2 linked regions of the Medicago truncatula genome follow. The protein of the gene in region 2 interacts with the protein of the main gene of each other region in a pairwise test. Links are inferred from orthologs where the notes say so. Each region holds a gene or a part of one and is shown on either strand. Other genes may lie near its edges.

Region 1 (6,800 bases), on a different chromosome or scaffold from region 2:
ATTTCAGAGTGCATCAATCAGAACATGTATAATTTTGTCTAAAAAATTTAGTTACTTTAATTGCATAGTATTATTGACTTCAAAACAAAGATTAACAAAGTAACTAAATTATGATACGACATATCAATCAACAATCACCACCAATTGAGGTTCATAAACAAACCCTAAAATTTTCAAATTTAAATTTAAATTTCAGAACATAACAAAAATCACTACCTCAAAAGTCAAAAACCATACCCAAATTCACTTGAACTCAATAATCTTTACCTCACTCTCAAAATCCAGTTAAAGGAAACATCAAATTTAAACATATTGTAATTAAACCACCGGTAATCTAATATACTTACACTAATTATAACCACCGGTAGCTATCATGTCACTAGTGCCACAAGAACAAAATATAGTTCTTGACAAAAGACATGGCCGGCCATGAAATTAGTGCTCAAAATAAGGCAGAGGAGCACCAAACCTCTCAAGAACCCTCACCTCACTGATCACCACAAATTCATTCAAGTAACAAATATCCCCCAACCCAACACAACAAAGCCACTGCTAAAAAAAAAAGAACCAAACAGAACCACAGAACCCCTACGGCCCCTCAAAAACCAGTTCACACCTCACTAAGTGAGTAGCCATTTGTGAAGGCAACAAAACACAGTGAAAATCTAGCTGAATAGAAACTCATTAGGGAGATTATAAGCTTAAAAGACAATAACCAAACCCTATTTCACACGTACTCAAAATAAGGCAGAGAAGGCGAATCAACCCTCTCAAAAACCTTCACCTCACTAATCAACACAAATTTGTTGGTAACAAACAATTGAAATTCAAGCAATCACACACCAAACAAAGAACATTCATTTAAACTCAACATAATTAAACAACTAATAATCTACTGTACTTACATTAATCATAACAACATTAAAAAAATATCATTAACATTATAATAAAAGTCTACCGCTAAACTTATTACATATGATTATCAATTTCAAAACAGCCATAAACCAGATAACTCTTATAAATACTTCATTAGTATCATAGCTAATAAGCAACCAACATCAATCAAGGTTCAAACCAAACCCTAATTTTCTCAAATTTAAATTTTCAAAACACAAATTCACTACCTCAAAACTCTAATTCATAATCACTTATACTCAAAATTCGGCACAGGAGGCGCATCAAAACTCTCCAAAACCTTCACCTCACTTCCACCACCACCAATCTTCTCTTCCTCCTTCTGTCCAAAAATTCCACCAAATCCACCAAACCACGGCTTCCCACCTTTGTTTTCCTCCGAATTTGCATTTGAATTCGAATTCTCTGGCGGCATATCCTCGATCATCATCGGCAAAGGCTGTTGAGCACTCAAAAACTTATTCAAAGCAATACCAGCCCCCTCAATCAACGCTAAAAGCACACCACCAAATGCCGCTGATCGCGCAGAAGCAGCTAAACCCTGACGCATAGCAAGAAAACCACCAGTAGCAGCACCAGCAACAATAGAATTCCACGGATCTTCCTTTTGTCTCACGTAAACCATAGTACAATCAAAAGTTGAGAATAAACCACCCCAAACAGCGAAACTACCACCGATTCGAGGTGCGTTGAGACGAACAGCTTGTGTTGCGCCGGTGAAACGTGCTCCTTTGGGGGAATTGTAGAGACCTTTGAGAAAGTGGAAGGCGGAGCCACCGACGGCACCCATACCAAACGCGCCGCCGATGTCGTCGAGGATGCGATCGGGACAAGGCTCGCGTGAGGTTTCAGGTGTTCCCATGTTTTGATTGATTTGATCGAAAAGTGAATTTGGGTATTAGGGTTTTGGTGCGTGAGAGGAGAAAGAGAGAGAACAAAAGAATGAAGTAAAGAGGGTCGAAGTTCTCTTTTTATACGCCGACTAATAATGTTAAAATTATTTTAGATTTTAGATATCAATCTTTTTTATCAAGCAATGGGAAATTTTGTTTTTTTTTTAGAATCAACGGGAAATGTTTTAGATATTTTGTTTTTGCATACCTATTGGAAAAAAAAAAAATATATATATATATATATATGATTATTAATTCTTGGTTTAAATGTGTCCATTGATCCAAGCACTTTTTTTGTTTGGCATTGGTCCCTGCACTTTGTAAAAATATTGGTATTGGTCCCTCTGTTAACTTTCTGTTAAAAAAAAAAAACACAAAATCAACGGAATGCCACCTGGCCCAATCATTTCACGCCACGTGGCACCAATATCAATATTTTTACAAAGTGCACTGACCAATTCCAAACAAAAAAAAGTGTAGGGACCAATGCCAAAATCTGATGAAAGTGTAAGGACTAAAGGCATATTTAAACCTTAATTCTTTCTTTCCATGAGATTCTTGCACGATTTATTTTTTAAAAATGTGTTTTTGTTCGAATTTTATAATCATAAGGTGTTTTGATTTATGGAATCCTAACAATGTAAAAATTGAAGGCAGGCATGCAACATGACTTATGCTTGCCCAAATTTCTATAACAATCGTTTGAAATATATAAACCGAAATTTTTTCACAATGTGTTGAAAGTATGATTTTAAACATAGTTTTTGGGCCCATTTTTATTTTTATGATCGGGAAAACTAGCTTTTAAAAGGCGGGGGAACACTTGGATTATGGAATCTGAAACCTTCGAATATAAAGGTTTGCCAAAAACCTAACAAAATGTCACCACCTTTATCACTAAACACTCCTCACATCTCAAAAAAAAACACACCATTTTGGGCGAAAGTGTGATTTGGAGTAGCAATTTGGTCATCAAGGGGCGTCAACAACATCATTTTCGTTTGAATGCATAGATAATGTTCCTATAAGACCTTCCTCGTTCGATTTCTAGGCGCTTTCCTCTTGATCACGTCAACAATATGGTTTGACTTATATAATCTGAAACACACCATTGCAGACATTGTCCAGTTTGTTACCATGATTTTGCATTGTTTTTAGTAATGGACGCTCTCATTAATATCTCATAGGCTCTTACATTGGCTCCTGACATTGAAACTCCTATTATGTTGCTAATTATTTCACCTGAAAATTTGGATGATACCGTCAATGTCAAAGTCGAGGATCCCCCACCTCTAGTCGATATTCCTTCTGAGGATGCGAAAGTGAAGGGTGCTCCTCCACCTGGTGTGCCTCCAGCTGATACTCATCCAATTGTTGGACCTATTGTTGTTTCTATTGATCATCAGGAAAATTTTACCACTAAAGTAAAGTTTGCTACACATAACGATTTGTTGAGTGGATTCGAAAATAAGTAGGGAGGCTAGGATTTTCAACTGTTATTAAAAAGTCAAATAAGGGTGGAAATGGCATAAATGTATTTGTTACGTTATATGTGAAAAGGGAGGTTCGTATACTGAGTACAAGAAGTTGTGCATGTGTAAGATATATGGGAAATACAACGAAAAACGTAGTTGAATATGCGCACAGTCAGTTGAAAAAGTATTTGACTAGTAGTATGGGATGTTTGTGTATGAATTGGTCATTCGTTCACAACATGTTAGAATCGCAACATACTCAAATACATGTGTTGTTCTATATGAGTATGATCATGCTTAAAACAGTTTCACGGGAAAGTTGTCGTGGTCTAAGTTGATTGGAAACATATCAAAGAATGTTTTGCATTATATATCGCAAACAAATCTGATCGAGCAGTTGAGTGTGGTACAGATAAATCCAAACATGGTTGCTTAGTTTTCATCACATGTGAATTGTCGTGTGCATGCACCACTGCTAAAAATACAAAGAACACCTGTAACGCCCTAGTTGTTTATTTAATTAATTTGAATTATGTGGAGTATATGTATTTTTATATATGATGTTTGGTAATTTATGCGGAGTATATATATATATATATATATATTTATATATATATATGTGATTTTTGGGTGTCTTATGTGGTGTATTATTTTATTATATAGTTTATTTAATAATAATTAATATAAGTATGAAATAATAATTATTTTGGAGTTTGGGGAGTTATTTAATAGTTATTAAAGTTAATGGGGAGTTAAATGAAAATATAGGGAGTTAAGTAATGGGAAGTTAGGAAAAGAAAGAGGAGAAGCAGTTGTACGTAAGAACTGACAAGTTGGGAGAAAAAGGGGAGAAGACCAAGTTAGAGCCAAGAGTGAATTTGCTGCACATTTCTTCTTCAATTTCTAAGGTAAGGGTGAGGTTTACTTCAATAGTGTAGATTTTAAAGTCTGATTTGAGTTTAACAGGTTTTTGGATTGAAATTGAGGAATTGGGTTTTAATTGAATTTATGGTTTTTGGGGTAGATATTGCTATTCTGATGTTAGAATTTGGTTTTGGTTGCATAGAAACATTCATTTCTCATCTGTAAACTGATTTGGGGAGTGATTGGAAGGAAAATGGGATTTTTGGGAAAAACCAGTTTTCTGCCCGTACAGAAGTTCATCGCTCGCCTCGCGAGTAGCTGTGCTCGCCATGGCGAGTGAGCAACTTCATAGCTCGCCTCGCGAGCAGTCCAACTCGCCATGGCGAGTAGCCCATAATAAAACTTGATTTTTGAAAAGTTGTTATAAGATGTTTTGGGGATGGTTTAAGGTACCTAGATGATTTTTATGATGAATGGTGAAAGTTTTAGGTTAAAAAGATGAATAGGGAACTTAGAATTTGGATTTGAGTGAGAAAATGGCATTTTTCCCGAGAGCTCCTGATTTTCACTCGCCTAGAGTTCGCCTTGAACTCGCCACGGCGAGCTACTGTTTTTGTGAACTCGCCATGGCGAGCAGATGTGCTCGCAAGGCGAGTTGCACTGTTTATGAGTGTTGAATTGCTTGCATGATTAGTAGTGGTTGGTGTTGTTGTATTTGAGCATGGTTGTATATAATTATACATTATTTTGGTTGATTGGATTGTTGGATTGATGAATACTGATGATGGTTGAAATGTATGTTATTTATTGAATCATACATATTATTATAGTAGAGTCACATGGAGTTGCATTGCATGGTCAGTTGTATGTAGATATACACAAGTAGGTCCATTACATATGCATAAAACAGCGGTGAGGGCTTCGGTCCTGGAGTACTAGTTGCTCAACAGCGGTGAGGGCTTCGGTCCTGATGAATGCTTTAACCATTCAAAAGCGGTGAGGGCTTCGGTCCTATTTGGTACCACATGCATATTGCATTTCATTAAGAAGTCTAAGATGGTGTCTTAGCAGTGGTCATGTCATTTGCATGAGTCTTGGTTGTTGATGTCGGTTATTTTCTGATGGATGATGTTGGTGTTGAATATGCATTTATATATATATATTCATTGTGATCATGGGTATTGTTGATGTTGTTGTTACTTGTGACTTATACATATATTTGTTTACAAGATAAAGTGTTGTTGGTTAGGGTGTTAGATTCAATTGATGATTTTAATATATATATTTATTGTTGTGAATCTCACCCCTTCTGCTTGAAAATGTTGCCCTTCCTATGGGTAACTTGCAGGTGATCCTGAGTAGTAGGTGGTGGCTCAAAGTCGTGTTTAGGGCTCTGATACGTGGGATGGGATTTATCATTTTTATTATTGTTGCTTTTCCTTTCCATGTATCAAATTTTGGAACTTATGGTGTGGAGCCTTTTGTTGTCTTTGAACTATGATGTTGAATTATGTTAAGGCCTTTAATGCCTTAGACTATTGTTGGATGTTCATGTGGTTATGGATTATGAAAACTATTCCGCTGCTATGTTTTCATAAATAATAAGTTGCTTGATTAAATAGTTTTATTTTCTATTTAAGAAATTTTGAAATGACGTGTAGCATGCCCGTTGTGGAACTACTCTGATGTATATTTGCTATTTAATTGCTTTTGGGTAACGGGGTGTTACAATTTGGTATCAGAGCCGGTTGGTCCGTCCGGCCAACTAGTAGAGTCGTGTTGAGCCACCTAGGATAGAGTGTCAACTTTAATATTGTTTTTTTTGTTGTTGTTCTGAGTTGTTGTTTGTCGTGTAGAATCTCGAGATGACTGGAAGTAGTGATGCTGCCCTTGTTGCTGCGCTTGAGGCTGTAGCTCAAGTTGTTCAACAGCAACCTAAGGTTGAGACTGGTAGTGATGGAACCAGGATGCTAGAGACTTTCTTGAGGAATCATCCACCAACATTCAAGGGTAGGTATGCTCCTGATGGTGCTCAGAAGTGGCTGAAGGAGATTGAAAGAATATTCCGAGTCATGCAGTGTTCTGAGACACAGAAGGTGCGGTTTGGGACGCACATGTTAGCTGAGGAGGCCGATGATTGGTGGATTAGTTTGTTGCCTGTTCTGGAGCAGGATGATGCTGTGGTAACCTGGGCCATGTTCAGGAAGGAGTTGCTGGGCAGGTATTTTCCAGAGGATGTCAGGGGTAAGAAAGAGATTGAATTTCTGGAGTTGAAACAGGGTGACATGTCTGTCACAGAGTATGCTGCAAAGTTTATGGAGCTTGCCACATTCTACCCTCATTACAGTGCGGAGACAGCTGAGTTCTCCAAGTGTATCAAGTTTGAGAATGGGTTGAGGGCTGACATCAAGAGGGCTATTGGGTATCAGCAGATCAGAGTCTTCTCTGAGTTGGTTAATAGGTGCAGAATCTATGAAGAAGACACCAAAGCTCATTACAAGATAATGAGTGAGAGGAGGGGTAAGGGACAGCAGAATCGTCCTAAGCCTTACAGTGCTCCTGCTGACAAAGGAAAGCAGAAGATGGGTGATGATAGGAGGCCCAAGAGGAGAGATGCTCCTGTTGAGATTGTTTGCTACAAGTGTGGTGAGAA
Region 2 (9,133 bases):
AATTGGAACTCGCTCATATAGCAAAGGAAGAAAATATCTTTAACCTCTAATTTAATATTAATTACTTCGTCCATAATCATAATATTGTTTTTGCAATTTTGCTTGTCCCTAAATATAAAAAAAATTTCGGGCTTCAGCCCTCTTTGTTATAAAAATATATATAATTTTTCACATTATTAGATATATTTATTACATTTTTTATAGTATATCTTTTTTTTATGATAGAAGAAAATTATAAAAGATGATGTTTGTTTCAAGTTATATTTGGAGATTCCTGAGAATATGATAGTGGAAAGAAATATTCCTATGTTTGTTTTTAATTTTTATAATTATTCCTTCCTGGGAATAGAAGTTTCTTGAAAATGTTGTCTTGTTCCTAAGAAAATTGGGAGGAATAAAGTTTTCATGAAGCTGGGAATAAAATCATTAATTACTATCCAGAACTATCGCTTTATCAGTCATTCCCATGAATACTTTAAATACTAACCAAACACATTTTCTCAGTAAACCTGAAAATACAGTTCTCATCCTTATATTCACAAGAAAATTATTCCCATGATTATATTTTGTAAACTTGAAACAAAGACCCCCTAAGGAACTAACCTAGGGACTCGACATCTCACTCAATCAAAACGAAGCTTAAGAGCCAAAGAAGGACAAAAGATTGAAGAGGTCCTCCATTAGAAAGAACCACGGTGACCCAAGTTAGCAAGAAAATCAACGCAAGAGTTAGCTCCCTATAAATATGCTTCAATGAGACCTTTCAATCCATAAGATAGACAAGAAAAAGAATGTCGAATATATGGATTTGAAGAGCCGCGGTGTGAGATGAAGTGAGTTGAACAATTTGTATAAAGACCCAAGAATCACATTCCACAAGAAGGGAAATAATACCCTGATCCCAAAAGGTTTTAAGACCATATTAAAGAGACCTCAAAGCTCAACATAAATAGCGGTGGAGGTTTTTTTTTTTTTTTGGGTTACAAAATTTTAGGGTGAGGGGATGGTGCCCCAGTCTAAGGTAGGGAAGACCTTCGAGCTCAAAGAGCACTTACAAAGGTATTTACATTTACCTCCCTTCAAAGGCACTAGTGAGGCTCGAACCCGGATTCTCTCGGATTCAAGACCTGTCATTTTATAGGAGTGGAGGTTTTAATATTACAACACAAGATTCTTATTATGGGATTTTTAAATTGTGAGATTTTTAAATTTGTGATATTTGTTTTCTCAATTTAAATTGATAGATATATTTTTTTTCTCAACAAGAAAAAGTTGTGAGATTGTTTTCTCAAAAAAATCGACTGAGATCTCATTTTCTGAATTTTAAAAAAATATTTAATAAGTATTTTTTGTCAATTTAAATTGATAGTAAACATCTTATGGAATAAGTTCATAAAAAGTAAACTCGAAGATTCATTCTTTCAAAGTATAAAATTAACTCTATAACACTTTGAGAGAAGGCAACAGAAGTGTTGATTGGCTTGCTAACTTCAGCCTTACCATGGATTCATGGAATTTTACTATTTTGGAGACCCCTCCTAGTGAGCTCAATAGTCTCCTCTTTGATGACATCTCTGGTGCTTGTATGCCTAGAAATGTTCGTGTAATTGTTTAATTTTCTCTTTTGGGCTTCGGCCCTCTCTTGTACCAAAAAAAAAAATTAACTCTATAACTAATACTTATGTGATCTTAACTTCTAAATTTTACTTTAGAATTAATAAATCATATATGTTGAAAAATGGATTCTAATTTTTTTGCCTGCCCCCGACACCGACACTAATCCGACGTGAATTCATTGTTAGCGTCAGTTTTTGCCTGGTTAAAGTGGGTTTTTGGCCGACTTTAAACACTGTTTTCTTGTAGGGCCAGGGGTGGCAAATAAAGTTGCTTCCAATCCTTAATCCACCCCACCCATATATCAACGTTAACCAAGCTATTACCTTGTTATATAATAAATTCATTCAACAACCAACACCAACCATATATTTGGTTACAAACTGCTACATTCAAAACTAGACAAAACAACTCGATGGTATGTTTCCATCAACGATGCTTAATTCAGCCGCAAATTTTTATTTTTTTTTAGGAAACCACAAACTTATAATTTACAAAAACTAAATATTCACATACTTAATTTTATATATAACTTAAGACATGTCCCTAAATTCCATATGATGCTATTCAAAAAGACTAGTTTTGTTCTTAAATATGCTTTGGTGACATAAAATTATATTATTGAGGGGTGGATGCTAACTTGTATAAGACCATGAACCTTTGTGATGCAATGATTGTTGTTAATGAGTCTCACATCAAATAAAATATGACTTAAATATATGTTTATAAGTAGGAGCAATCTTCATCCAACAAACAAAAAGGAACAGTGATGAAGTAGAAGGATTTTGCAGTTTCAACTAAATATCTGAATGAACTAGAGCAAAAAATGACGCAACATTTTTAGGCAATTGAAAAGGAACATTGTGATGAAGTAAAAGGGTTCTTGCGGTTTCAACTAAATTTGAATGAACTAGAGCAAAAAAGGATGCGACACTTTTAGGCAATCGATGATCCACTTATGAAATCATATTATGTATTTTCAACCAAAAATGAAATCTTATTTCTATTTTATAACTTTTAATTGATTCATTTGCATTTTTATTTCCATGGTAATAGTAATTGATAATTTTTTATTACTTCTATAGTTCTAATTCAACAACTATTAAATCGTGTTCTTAAGGGTGGTTCAAAATCCAAGTCAAAGAATTCACGTTTGAATTTCATCGAAAATGGAGATATCCTTTTATGTGTGTGATCATTGGCTTCAGGTTTTTTTTTTTAAGAGGCTACAATGAAATATATTACCACATCAAAAGGTCCTCCCTAACATAAGATATGCCAAGGAAAAGACACCAAAGTCAAAACAAATATTTACAAGGGAAAACCAAAACAGTGACTAAAGAAAGCAAATAACTATTAGCCTATGCCAAAAATAGTGAAATGACTAAGCCACCAGCCATGATAGTTGAAGGGAAGAGAAGGAAATTTCGCCTTCAGCCACATGAAAGTCAGCGACTTAATTTTATCAACCACCTGCATAATTGAGCACTCTTTGCCATTAAAGAGCATGTTATTTCTTTCTTTCCAAATTTTCCACGTAGTTGCATACCAAAGAACCTGTAAAATTGATCGTCGTGCCTTTGTGACACCGCCATCAACAGTGAAGGGAATTACCGTCGACAAACCCAACCACCTGGAGATATAGTGCCAAATCGAACCAAATATATTACAATGTAAAAATAAATGTGCTGAAGTCTCTTCGGACCCACAGCCAGCAACACACATCCAGGAATCATTAGGAATCACTCCACAACGAAGAAGGTTATCCTTAGTTGGCAACCTATCACGAAACATACGCCAAGCAAACAAAACGACCTTCAAAGGGACATCTTTATTCCAAAGAGAGGACACCGCCACCATAGAAACAAACGGAGGTTGAAAAGTGAGCAAATTATAAGCACTACGGACGAAATAGACATGAGATGTTTCCAAATTCCATAGCCACCTATCAACTTTATCAACCTGCAAAGTCACACCGTGAAATAATAATTTAAATTCCTCCACCAACTCTTCTTCCCACGCAAACAGCCCCCCTCCTCCAACTTCACGCTTGCCCCTCATCCCCCATCCCCCATCCTAACTCACACATCATCAATAATAACTTATGTACTCTTTTGAGGATTTTGTTTTGTATGGGATGGTATTTGTTTGTTTTTTCTTGAGGTTTGATTTTGATTGTATATTTAGTGAGTTGTAATTGTTTTATTCATGTTAAAGAGTCGTTGGATGAGAGATAACATGAACAATTGTTTATAAGTGAAAGCGAATTTTACCTCACAAATTGATTTTAGGAGAATGAATTATCTCTAGTATAAAAATCTAAGGTGATATTAAAACCTTTTCCAAGATCTGTCTTGATCGAACCACCTACCATTTATATCTATGCATCAAGTCTAATAGTATTGGATGCGATAGGCTGTGTTAAATACTATCATATTTGATGAAAAATGACATAAACAAGTGTTTCTAAATATGGATAACCATCATCTCACAAATCAGTTTTGTACTATGGGCTAGAGCAAATATAAAAACTTAAGAATCCATGAATGATACACTTTGTATCTTGGATAATAAGTATTTATTAGAGAAATGATATTTGTACAACCACTTTATGACAACTTTTTCTTTCATACTCACATTATCCTCTTATTTTCTCTCTTTCTTTTTCTCTCCATAGTTTTTAACCAATAAAAAGAGAGAAAAAAAATTATCACAAAAAATTGTATGAAATAGTTGTTCAAATATCACTACTCTATTTATTAATATCATTTGTTGGTCTTTTGTGAAAGAGAGATAAATTTTAGAAATAAAAAAAGAAAAAACTTATATAGTATTGAATCTCATGTGTCAATGTAAACTTTGTTATTTAACGTGGATTGATTGGACTAAATTAGATTGGAAGCTCGAAAGGAAGGTTAACGTTGGGTCCCTCGTCGGTCACTCACTGACTCACATATTATATTATTATACATATACTCCATTATTATTATTTCAACGCCAGTTTTAAAAATATCATCAATATCCAATAGAGATATTAACGCCAAGTGTATGTTGCACTATTGTGTTTTGTGTTCCTATCCAAATCCAATCAAAATGGAAAAGACAGAGCTTGACAAAGTAAGTAGATAGAAAGAAAGAAAAAATGAACAAGATACGAAACAAGAAAAGAAGTAAACAAAATTCAATCCAACAATGTGACTCTGAGTGATTTAACCCTCTTTCTTTATCTCATAAGGGATTAACTGGGTCCTGTTTGTGGTCCCCCAATTGTTTGTCCCTATTCTTTTTTCCCTTATCTTAAATCTTAATAATAATGTACATGCAGATTTCATTTTGTACCATTACCCCATTTCCCACTGCTGGCTTGTTGCCTTTTACAGAAATCCAAACCATCCCTCATTTTCAAACCATCTCTCACACACACAATTTTGGATCTTAGTTACTCTTAATCGATGTTTGATATCATCGTGGATATGTCAAACTGTGATTTTACAAAAGTTATCGGTGTAATATCAAACACAAACTTAATGGTGAAAAAATCATCATGACTTTAATGTATGATAAGAAAAAATAAACAAAAATGATAAATAAGATGAGGAAAAGACGTACATCTTTTAAAGATAGCGGATCCAGATCACACGATTTTAAAATAAGAGAATATTAAAAAATGTCTTGTAAATATTGTTTAAGCAATCAAAATATATAAATTTCCTTAAAAATTTATACAATTGTTATTTAATAAAAAAAAATTATATTTTTAAGATAAAATTTCTATTTATAAATTTTTTAACAAATACTCAAAGAGACATGGTTAGTAAAACCCTTTAAAATTTAGTGAGCTACATACATCGTATTCACGTGGCTATGCATCACCCAACCAACAAAGTGTTTTCAATCTTATGACTAATAATAGCCATACCATACCCATCAATACCCATTATCAATCAAGCATATGATATCATCCTCTACCATACACAATACAATAAAATAAAATAAAAATGTAATAAAAACATTACTCTTTATAACATCTCAGAAACTGCCACAAATATCACTCACTAGATTTCATTGATTGATACTCAATACCCCAATCACCTTACCTCTATAAATTTCCTTCATACATATTCCTAAAAAGAAGAAAGTAGTTATTTTCGTGAGAATTTCTTACCGGTGATGGTAGGAAACAACTCAGCAACCACCGTCAGCCACCTACCGGAGGAGATTTTATCGAAAGTCTTCACCGGAATAACTGACACACGAACTCGAAACTCACTCTCCTTAGTATGTCATAGCTTCTTCAAGTTAGAGAGAAAAACGCGATTATCCCTCACGCTCCGAGGAAACGCGCGTGACTTATACAGAATTCCAACTTCCTTCACGAACGTTACTCATCTCGATGTATCACTTCTCTCGCCGTGGGGTCACGCGCTGTTCTGTTCACCTGCTGGTAATGATTCTCCGCTTCTAGCTCAACGGTTACGAAATACTTTCCCGCGCGTGACTTCACTCACTGTCTACGTGCGTGACCCGCACACGCTTCACCTTCTTCTCTTCAACCACTGGCCGGAGCTTCGTGATGTTCGGCTTGTTCGGTGGCATCAACGGCCGCAGGGGTTGCAACCGGGGTCAGACTTCGACGCCTTGTTCTCACGGTGCCGATCGATTACTTCACTTGATCTTTCATCGTTCTATCACTGGCCGGAGGATCTTCCACCGGTTTTGGCGGAGAATACTACCACAGCCGCCTCACTCCGTCGTTTGAATCTCTTAACGACGTCGTTCACGGAGGGGTTCAAGTCTAACCAAATCGAATCCATCACTTCATCTTGCCCTAATCTGGAACACTTTCTTGTTGCATGCACTTTTGATCCGAGATACATCGGTTTTGTCGGTGACGAAACTTTATTGGCCGTCGCTTCTAATTGTCCTAAGCTGAAACTTCTTCACATGGCTGATACGTCGTCGTTTTCGAATCGGAGAGAGGAAGAAGGTGTAGAGGATGCTAGGGTGAGTCGTGCCACGCTTGTAGCGTTGTTCACTGGGTTGCCTCTTCTGGAAGAATTGGTGCTAGATGTTTGTAAAAATGTCACCGAGACTAGTTTTGCTTTGGAGATGTTGAGTTCTAAATGTCCTAATTTGAAGGTTGTGAAGTTGGGTCAGTTTCAGGGGATTTGTTTGGCAATTGGGTCACGGCTTGACGGAATTGCGCTTTGCCATGGGCTTCAATCGTTGTCTGTTAACACGTGTGGTGATCTTGATGATATGGGGTTGATTGAGATTGGGAGAGGGTGTTCACGGTTGGTGAGATTTGAGATTCAGGGTTGTAAGCTTGTTACTGAAAAAGGGTTGAGGACTATGGCGTGTTTGCTTCGAAGGACTTTGATTGATGTTAAGGTTGCTTCATGTGTCAACCTGGATGCGGCTGCTACTCTTAGAGCTTTGGAGCCTATTCGGGACCGGATTGAGCGGCTTCACTTGGATTGTATATGGAAAGAAAGTGATAACTTCGGACAAGGTTTGTTCAACTTTGATCTGAACACTTTGGATGAACTGAACGGTTCAGAGTTAATGGATTGCTTTGGAGGTGAGGAATGTGGAGAAGACACAAGCATGAGGAAGAGGCAAAGGTGTGAGTATGGATTGGAGGCTGATGATTTGTTTGTGCAAAGCAATGGCAATGGTAACGGCAATGGATACTATGGCTATAGCTGGGATAGGTTGGAGTATCTTTCTCTTTGGATAAAGGTTGGTGAACTTTTGACTCAGTTGCCAGTAGCAGGGTTGGAGGATTGCCCCAATCTAGAAGAGATTCGTATAAAAGTCGAAGGAGATTGCAGAGGACAGCCCAAACCGGCAGTGCGCGAATTTGGTTTGAGCATTCTAGCTTGTTATCCTCAGTTGTCAAAGATGCAGCTGGATTGTGGCGATACAAAAGGTTATGTATACACAGCGCCTTCCGGCCAATTGGATTTGAGTTGGTGGGAGAGGTTCTTCCTTAATGGGATCGGTAGCTTGAGTCTAAATGAACTTCATTACTGGCCACCACAAGATGAGGATGTGAACCAGAGGAGTCTGTCTCTTCCAGCTGCTGGCCTGTTGCAAGAATGCTATACTTTGAGGAAGCTTTTCATTCATGGAACAACTCATGAACACTTCATGAACTACTTCCTCAAAATACCAAATCTGAGAGATGTTCAGCTGAGAGAGGATTACTATCCAGCACCAGAGAATGACATGAGTACAGAGATGAGGGTAGGATCATGCATTCGCTTTGAAGATGCGTTGAATAGGCGTCAAATATGTGACTGATCAAGTGTAATGTTTGCTAGGATGCAATAAACAAGAGAAAAAAGAGGATAGTTCTTAAGGCTATAGGGCTTGTTAATTGTTATTGCCAATTATTAACATCAATTACGGCTTTGGTAGATTATTTGTCACTTTCCTCTTTTGACACCGTAAAATCGTGGGACTCCAGTTGGATTTTTGTTTGAGTCTCAAATGTAACCATTCTACCCTCGGCTATTTTGTTATTTTCGTGGAATAAATATGCGCGAGAGATTACATGCATCTTCTCTCACAAGAACTTAAATTATCAAGGTAACCAAAAAAAAAAAAAAGAACTTAAATTATAAGGTAAAAAAAGTTGAAATTATTATGAGAAACTTTTTTTGACAAGTAGATTATTATGAGAAACTTATATACGATTTGTTTTTTGAGTCTTCTAGCAAGAGCTCTTTGTATTTAAACTTATATCTTAGGTTAGAATCTGATGCATAGCTATGCATGTGAAAATACAGAATTTTTTTAAAACCCAAGGTAGGTCCGTTTAGTGTAAAAAACAACAAAAAATTACTGTCTGAATTTCTATCACAGTTGATTAAATTATAATATGTACCCCAACATATTTTGGAATTCTTACTGATAAAATGGATATATGTGTTTAGTTCCATACATGTACCAGCACCGAGCATCACTATTTTAGAGAGCCGGATCCTCTCCTTCACTCTCTCCATCCTCTCTATCTCTCTTCTTTTATCGCTTTTTTAGCATTCAATTCTCTATTCTCTCTCATCCCTCCTGTGTAATGTGAAGGAAAGGATCCGAACACCTATTTTAGGTACAACCGAGCTTCATAGGTTAAAATTAAGCATGTGTTTGAAAGAATGGAAGCCAGTAGGATTCGACTGTTCAGTATATTGAATATTCTGTCATGAATTACTTCTTTCAAAATTTTCAACCATTAAATGAAAGGTCAACCATATTTTGTGTGATTAAAGAGATGGATAAAAAAAAGCCATTGCTTCTTTTCCTTCTCTTTACATTGCTTCACATAAGAGACGATTCAAGAAATGCACGAATGCACGCACATTTTAACATGTTTTCAGGACATATAATTCATATAAGTTTACAACATCAGCCGAAAATACAATGTGATAACTCAACCCAAAGTTCACTATGTACAAAAGGTAATTGCTGCATCAAGACATCGAGTACTCAATATCCACCAAGCGAGATAGGATCT

What was found. The genes of interacting proteins can lie anywhere in the genome.
Region 1: the proteins of F-box protein MAX2 (region 2) and mitochondrial import inner membrane translocase subunit TIM17-2 interact in binary tests that used the Arabidopsis thaliana proteins (3 or more experiments, as listed by UniProt). The link is inferred for Medicago truncatula from reciprocal best matches to the Arabidopsis thaliana genes MAX2 and TIM17-2.

The regions. Positions count from the first base shown.
Region 1 is NC_053047.1:41,353,746-41,360,545, reverse strand, and holds mitochondrial import inner membrane translocase subunit TIM17-2, read right to left. Parts: upstream 1,910-6,800; 5' UTR 1,778-1,909; coding exon 1,145-1,777; 3' UTR 838-1,144; downstream 1-837. UniProt on the Arabidopsis thaliana protein: Essential component of the TIM17:23 complex, a complex that mediates the translocation of transit peptide-containing proteins across the mitochondrial inner membrane. Links the inner and outer membranes.
Region 2 is NC_053045.1:38,925,651-38,934,783, forward strand, and holds F-box protein MAX2, read left to right. Parts: upstream 1-5,557; 5' UTR 5,558-5,784; coding exon 5,785-7,920; 3' UTR 7,921-8,178; downstream 8,179-9,133. Other genes in the region: serine/threonine-protein kinase EDR1, read right to left, coding at 9,090-9,133. UniProt on the Arabidopsis thaliana protein: Component of SCF(ASK-cullin-F-box) E3 ubiquitin ligase complexes, which may mediate the ubiquitination and subsequent proteasomal degradation of target proteins. Promotes the senescence. Is necessary for responses to strigolactones and karrikins.